Oryctolagus cuniculus: one gene and its partner. The protein of the gene in region 2 binds, or shares a complex with, the protein of the main gene of each other region. Links are inferred from orthologs where the notes say so. Each region holds a gene or a part of one and is shown on either strand. Other genes may lie near its edges.

What was found.
Region 1: SPTSSA (region 2) and SPTLC3 share a complex: the UniProt entries of both Homo sapiens proteins name them as parts of the serine palmitoyltransferase (SPT) complex. The link is inferred for Oryctolagus cuniculus from reciprocal best matches to the Homo sapiens genes SPTSSA and SPTLC3.

What each region holds. Positions count from the first base shown.
Region 1 is NC_091442.1:38,096,917-38,100,482, reverse strand, and holds part of SPTLC3 (serine palmitoyltransferase 3), read right to left. Parts: intron 2,463-3,566; coding exon 2,243-2,462; intron 1-2,242. UniProt on the Homo sapiens protein: Component of the serine palmitoyltransferase multisubunit enzyme (SPT) that catalyzes the initial and rate-limiting step in sphingolipid biosynthesis by condensing L-serine and activated acyl-CoA (most commonly palmitoyl-CoA) to form long-chain bases.
Region 2 is NC_091443.1:40,979,453-40,983,623, reverse strand, and holds the start of SPTSSA (serine palmitoyltransferase small subunit A), read right to left. Parts: upstream 2,852-4,171; 5' UTR 2,787-2,851; coding exon 2,675-2,786; intron 1-2,674. UniProt on the Homo sapiens protein: Component of the serine palmitoyltransferase multisubunit enzyme (SPT) that catalyzes the initial and rate-limiting step in sphingolipid biosynthesis by condensing L-serine and activated acyl-CoA (most commonly palmitoyl-CoA) to form long-chain bases.

The DNA.
Region 1 (3,566 bases), on a different chromosome or scaffold from region 2:
TGTGTAAAGTGTGTATCAGTTGAAGGAACTCCAAGGAGAAAACTGTGACATCTACCAAATTTGACAGCATTTCAAGGATCTGCTTGCTCCAGTTTATTCAGGTGCCTTTCACTCTGGAAGCAGAGTTATGCCTGGTTAAAATGTTTGAGCTCAGGGCTCTGCTAAAGTAATCACCAAACCTCAAGCTCACAAAACATTGCAGTCTCGGTAAGAGGAGCTCCTAAATTTGAGGCCCTCTGATCCCACTGCTGTGAGCGCTGTGAGGGGAGCATTGAACCTTTCACCGGGTTTAGCTGACATGTGTAGGATCCTGGGCATGCTCTAGGTTTTCCGCATCACCCAGCTAATTCCCACAGGCCAGTGGAAGGAGGCTGAAAACGGAACGCTGGGAGCCTGGGATAGAGCAGTGCTTAGTGAGGGGTAAAGTCCACTTAAAACGCTGAGTATTTTCAGCATCATAGCAGGGCGAGTGGCCAAGATGAAATCTGTTGTTTTAAATCACGGGCTTTGAATGACAGGACTGTTTTCTGCTGCACTCCTTGATCTGTCTAACTGGTTTACCAGGAATTTTATTCCTTCTGATCACAATGGGCAAGGAATGGAGAAGTTTAGATAAGCCATTGGTGCCACCTGTGTGCACTGGTTTGCGGCCTGCTCTTCCATCTGAGGTGAGCCAGCACCACTGTCGCACGATCTCTTTGGGGTGGATATAGGGTTGTATGAGATTGCTGTCAAGGTTTGGATAAGGCTGTCATATAATGGGGGAGACATCTGGCCCCCTTATGCTCAAATCCGAGTTTGAATATCAGACTTTCCCTTTCCCATCCTCCTTCTCCTCCCCTGTCATCTCCATGTCTCCCCCTTCTCATTCTTCTTTTGAAAGATTTGTTTATTTATTTGAAAGGTGAGTGGGGGGAGAGAAAGAAAGAAGGAGAGAGAAAGAGAGGAGAAGGGGGGAGGGAGAGAGAGGGAGGGAGGGGAAGAGAAGGAGGGGGGAGAGGGGGGAGAGAGAGAGAGAAATATCTTATATATCTTATATCTGCTGGTTCCACTCCCCAGATGGCCACAATAGCCGGGGCTGGGCCAGGTTGAAGCCAGGAGCCAGGAGTGCCATCTGAATCTCCCACCTGGGTAACAGGAGCGCAGTGTCTGCTTCCCAGGTGCATTAGCAGAGAACTTGATGAGAAGCAGATAGCTAGGACTTGACTCAGTACTCTGATAGGGGATGTGGGTGACCCAAGGGGCTGCTTAATCCACTGGGCCACAACCCTCTCCCATCCAGCCCCTCTTCTTTTAAAATGTCTTCCGAACATTTATTGTTTTATATTCACAAACCCATTGGTGGTACTAACACTCGAATAACAGAGCTAGCACTCATTTAAAAAGTCTAATTTCATCACATAAAATCTTTTAGGTATATAGATAAGATTAGAGAGTGGGAAGATTTGACCTATGGCTTACCCAACACTATGGAAAGAACTGTTTTTGCAGAGTATCTTAGAAGTACAATGGGTATTTCAAAAAGTTCATGAAAAAATGGATTAAAAGGTAAATTTATTGTGGTACAAAAACTGACATTCACACATAATTTTTTTTAAATAATATACATCTTCCATGAATATATTAAGATCCTTTTTATATATGGTTTTCAACTTTTTTTGCACAAAATAAACTTCTCTTTTAATTCCACTTTCCATGAGAGTGCCCACAAATGCCACTGATCCTGCCATTGTTCCGATGAAAACTCTCAAAACTCATAGCTTATAGCCTAACATAAGGTCAGCCTCCTTAACACCTGGCCTTTGCCTACTGTTACTATTACCTGCTTTGCGTTCTTCACAAAACACAAACTACTTGCAGATCTGTCTTGTAACATCCCCTAATCACTTCTGTGGCTGAGTATACATTATTCCTCTCTGAGGAATAATCCACTCTCCCATCACTTGTCGGCAAGGCTGACATTCATTCTGGAGACATCCCAGAAACTCCCCTAGTGAGTCTGTTATGCCTCTCCTTTGTACTGAATCTTGGGTAAGCTTTGGCATCTTATTATAAAGTGAGCACTCACTCCATGCTGCTCTCCACAATTAGAGAGTGAGCTCCGTGAAGTCCTTGGCCTCACCTGGGTGTGGATCCATTGTTACTCAGCTGCAGGGCTGAGTCAAGGTGAGGTGAACTGAGCTGAAGCTTCCCCGGAGTTCATAGCGGCCAGCAGATTTTAAAGACACTAGGAGTCTCTTACCTTCTTTCCAGCTATGTAACCTCCTGCGGCTCCAAAGCTTTTGGTGAACGTGCCCATGAGCACATCAACATCTCCAGGGTCTATTCCAAAGAATTCGGAAACGCCCCGGCCGGTTGGGCCCACTGACCCAATACTGTGAGCTTCATCTACGTAGAGGTAAGCTTTGTATTTCTTCTTTAGGGCCACGATCTGGGGAAGCCGCACAATGGAACCTTCCATGCTATGGCAGAAGCAGAAATGCTCGTAACTAATGAATACTCTCCTGGGGTGCTCTGTCAATCTCCCAGTACATGCACTGGGATTCTAGGTCCTCTGCTAGTTTTTTTATTAAATTGCTCTTCAGTGATCATATGTTTTCCCTGATCCAAGGTAACTAATAGAGTAACTAACATGCACTATATTGGAGTGAAATGGACATTTTGAGATTTGATGACTGTTTACAGCCCTTGTCTCTTCTGCTGAGGAGCTGTGTGTTTTTTCTTCCTACTATTTGTTGAACCCTCTTACTTAGTGTAGGGTTAACAGTCGATCATTAAGCAAGCTGAAAGTAGATCTTTGTAAAAATTAAAAGTGGGAATGGGAGAGGGAAGAGAAGGGCTGGAGGGTGGGCAGGAGGGAGGTTAGGGTAGGAAGTTTCACTGTATTTCTAAATCTGTATACATGAAATACATGAAACTTATAGAACTTAAAAAAAAACAATAAAAATTGTTCTGCAGTGACCCACATTTTTCCATTTATGCATGAATTGTCAAATATTAAAAAGGAGGAATTGAAAACACACAAATATTAAAAGAAGGAATTAAAAACACACGAAAGAAAATTAGTTAGGACCTCAGAGTATTAACTAAGGCACAGTAAAAAGTCCTAAGGACCTCTTATTCAATACCTATTGAAAGTCAAAGGCTAATTTGAGGCACCTGGTGTTGTCTCCGCTTTCTACTCTTGGGGCAGTGAAACAAAGTTGAGCAACTATTTATGAAAACACAGATTTCTGGGTCTGTCCCCCAGAGTTTCTGATTGAGCAGGTCAGTGTTGAAATAGTACATTTTTTCCAGACTCCCCAGAGTTTCTGATCCCCGTCATCAGGGACAGCACTTTGAGGACTGCTCCTGTAGATGAACCCTTTTGCATTAACCCATAGTGTAAGTTGCCAAACACTTCAAGTCCTGTCTCAGGGGGAAAAATACAAAGTCAATAAATAAGTAAAATTAATAATATTTTATGGCACCTCTGGAAGTCAGCGGCTTTAAAATAACTGTTGGGGGTGGCGCTGTGGCACAGCGGGTTAAGGCCCCAACCTGCAGCTCCGGCATCACATACAGGC
Region 2 (4,171 bases):
TTGTGGAATTCCAGGCTCCTGGCTTTGGCCTGGCCCCATCCAGGCCATTGCAGCCATCTGGGGAGTGAACCAGAGATGGAAGATCTCTCTCTGTGTCTCTTTATATATAACTCTGCCTTTCAAATAAATAAATAAAATCTTCTAAAAATGAATAAATAACTAGAAGTCAAAGTGAAATACTATAAATTAAACAGTTGATAATAATCTAAGAGTAGAAATACTAATTTCCAGTTTTTTTAGATGTCATAGCTTTTGCTCACAGTGCACCAGCTGATAAATGCCTCTTGTGTGAAAGGACTTTTCTGAAAGCCACATTAACAGAAGACTGTCCAAGTGCTTGGGGCCCTGCCACCCAAGTCAGAGACTGGGAAGAAGCTCCTGGCTTAGACTGGTCCAGCCCGGCTATTGCAGCCTTTTGGGGAGTGAAATGACAGATGGAGGATCTCTCTGCTTCTCCTTCTAACTCTGTCTTCAAAGAAGCAAATAAATCTATTTTTAAAAATCATATTCTGGGGCCAGTGCTGTGGCTCAGTGGGTTAACACCCTGGCCTGAAGCACCAGCATCTCATATGGGTGCCGGTTCGAGACCCGGCTGCTCCACTTCCTGTCCAGCTCTCTGCTATGGCCTGGGAAAGCAGTAGAAGATGGTCCAAGTCCTTGGGCCCCTGCACCCACGTGGGAGACCTGGAAGAAGCTCCTGGTTCCTGATCAGCACAGCTGGGGCTGTTGCGGCCATCCGGGGAGTGAACCATCGGATGGAAGACCTCCCTCCCTCCCTCTCTTTCTCTCTCTGCCTCTCCTCTCTCTGTGTAACTCTTTCAAATAAATAAATAAATATTTTTTAAAAATCATAATATTCTATAGCACCAGATACCAGTGGTTGCATTTCTCACTAACCTAAAAAAATTTAATCACTTGGTCACATAAGACAGTGAGACATTAAAAAAGGCAAAAATCAATAGAGGTACTACATTTCACTTCATAATTTATTTCTCCAACCTCAAAAATGCCTTGGTATTTATAAGACTCTTATTACTGCACCATAATACGGAATAATTCTTACACGACTGACATTGTAGCATTTATCCATATGTCAACAAAAGCTTCTAAGTATAAAATCTACCAGAGACTCCAGAAGTGGGCTCAACATGCAACCTCTGATTCAAAGTGTTTCAATTTATTCCTCCATTGTTTAAATTAACTTCAAGATGATTTTGAATGAGTCAAGATTACATGCTTCCAGTGAGAAATTTCAAACACATACCCATTAAAGTACACATTTGACAAGGCCTGACCTCACAAGTCCTAACCTATAGACACTAGAATGAGACTAAACTCTAGCTTAAAAAAAAAAAAAAAAAAAACTGCAGGAAATCAGGCAGATTTTATATTCAAAGCATAAAACCAAAACATGTATTCTGGTTCTTAAATTCCAGATTTGGGAAGAAAGACCAAGAGTAATAAATAAATTGCTTTGTAAGCAGCCAAAATTCCTCAAAAGTGCTGGAACAAAAAAGAGCTTTGCGTACAACCTTCTGCTATTTAACCACAAACACACTTGATAGACTAGGAACAAAACTACCTCCACTCACTCACTCGCCGGAATGCAACAGTGCATTAACCAAGTTGTTCTAAAGCAAGCTACTCCAAGGAATCCACAAGGGAAAGCAGACAGCCTGGATGAGGGAAACAGGCTGTGTGAAGTATCTGTTTCATGCTGGAACCCGAAGTTTTTTTTAAAAAGTAACATCTTATCAATAGCATTTATTCTACAACAATATCCTCAAAAGATGCCAATCAAAGGATGCCAATAAAAACAACTGGAGACGGGGCAGGGGGGGGATCACAGACTTCAGGGAGTCTCCACAACCTTGAGTTATTAACTGGAATGTTGTGAAAGTTAGAGGAGGTAAGGTACAGCCAAAGTGCCTAGCACAGTTGCCTTGCTTATAGTAATCACTCAAGAGTTCTTCCTAAGAATTTGTTAACTACCCACCCAAATAGTTTCAAACCCTATCCACAGCTCACCACGAATTCCTTTTCAGGCATGGCTTCTACCTACGGTGCAAAGACTTCGTGGGAAAATTAAACACACACACACACACACACACACACACACACACACACTTTTTAAACTACCCATCTTGATGACCCAAACGGTGCAATAACTTAAGACTGCTTTCCAAAACTGGATTTCGGTGTCATGACCACAAATTCACAACGTGGTTAAAAAGCTGGCCAACCGGTTGGAATTCTCCTTGGGACCAAAGCCAGCTAAACCGGGGACAGTTAAAGGTCAAAGGCTTCCAAGCCGGGAGCGATCTGCTCCACTTAACACGGCCCCTGCCTCCCACAGAACCGGAGACTGAACCAAAGGCAGGCGCGGCCCCAGTGGAGGCGAGGACGCACCCGGTTAGACATCGCCCTCGGGGATTTCCTCCAGAAATAAAGACGCCTCTACCTTGGGTCCAGTGACTTCACGAGCAACCCCGGATCTCCAGGGTCCTCGCCTCCCTTCACCGCGCCAGCGCCGTCCTCAGCCCCGAGACCTGCAGTCTCCGTGCCCCGCAGCGCCGCCGCCGCCGCCGCCGCGCCCGGACCCAGGCCCCGGGCCCTGAGGATGCGGCCCGCGCCCCCACGCCGGCCCCCCGCGCCCGCCGCCCGGGCAGGATACTGAACACAGTGCGCTCCCAGGGCTCCAGCATGTAGAGCGCCGTGACCAGCAGGTACTGGTAGTAGAACCAGGACATCTGCTTCCAGGCCCGCGCCAGCGCCATCCCCGCCATGCGCCTCCGCGATGCAGCCGCACGTCAGTCTGTCCGGCCCGCCGCCCGCTCGCCGTCCTCCAGCCCCCGGCCTGCAGGCCCGCCCGCCCGCCACCCCGCGCCCATTGGCCCTCCCGGCCCTGCGCGTCAGCCGCGGCACGCCCAGCCCCGCGCGCGCCCGGGCGCCGCCGCGAGCCCCGCCCGCCGGCGCTCATTGGCCCTGCCGCCGCCACGCGTTGCCGGTCCCCTCCCCGGCGGCCCCCCGGGCCGCGCCCACGCGAGCCCGGAGAACGGTCTCCGCGCGGGCGCCAGGGCCCGGCCGTTGGTGCCCGCTGGGGTCCCGGTTCTGCGGCCTTGCGTCGCGGTAGTGCAGGCCGAAGAAATGTTTGCGGAACACCTGCTGTGCCTCGAGCATTCCTCTGGGCAGGGGGGTTGCAGGATTGGAAGAGAACGCCTTGGGAACACCTGCTGTGCCTCGGGCATTCCTCTGGGCAGGGGGGTTGCAGGATTGGAAGAGAACGCCTTGGGTCCCTCCGGCCGGGGACGCGCGTCAGCTACATGAATGCATGTATAGCCGGGACTAGTGCACGGAGGAGATTAGGGGGCTGCAAGAGGGTGGGGAGGCGAACGCCACAAAGTCAAGTCTAGAACGGCCTCCTTCCTTTCCCTCCCCAAAAACACGTCCAAACACACCAACACACCCCGCGCACCCCTTAACCTAAAGACAAGACGGTTCACCGCAGCTGTCTATCTGCCCACCTCTTAACGGTTACGGGTACCTGTGGACCATCAGAGTCAAGGCCAGGAGAACCACAGTGAGCTGTGTTCTACAGATGACAGCTTGAGATGGGTAAACTGGCTGATGATGCCTCGTGGAGATGCACTCGTGAACGTCAGGATTTCTCTACTGGCAGATGGACCAGCAACACTGGGCTTTCCCATAAGGAACTCCGTGCAGGGTTTGCAGGTGAAATAACACAGTCAAATCGCCTGCTGTTTAAGGGTTAAAAGCTTTCTAGGTTAGGGCCAGCATTGTGGCGCAGAGTCGGGGGAGGGTTAATCATCTGCTTGCCACACCTGCATCCCATATGGGCACCCATGCGAGGCCCAGCTGCTCCACTTCCAATCCAGCTCCTTGCTAATGCACCTGGGAAAGCAGTGGAAGATGGCCCAAGTGGCCCCTGCCACCCATGTGGAGAGCTGGGTGAAGCTCCTGGCTTCCAGGCCCCCAGGGTCATGGCCATTTGGTAAGTGAACCGCTGGATGCAAGATCTCTGTAACTTAAATGAAAAGCTTTCTAGGTCAAATAGCAGCCTACTGCTTCAGCTTTAAATTTTTCATGGTTAAGAACTCTACTCATTTACAGACAATCAAATGTTGTTTATGAGCTGGTTATTAGGGACTTG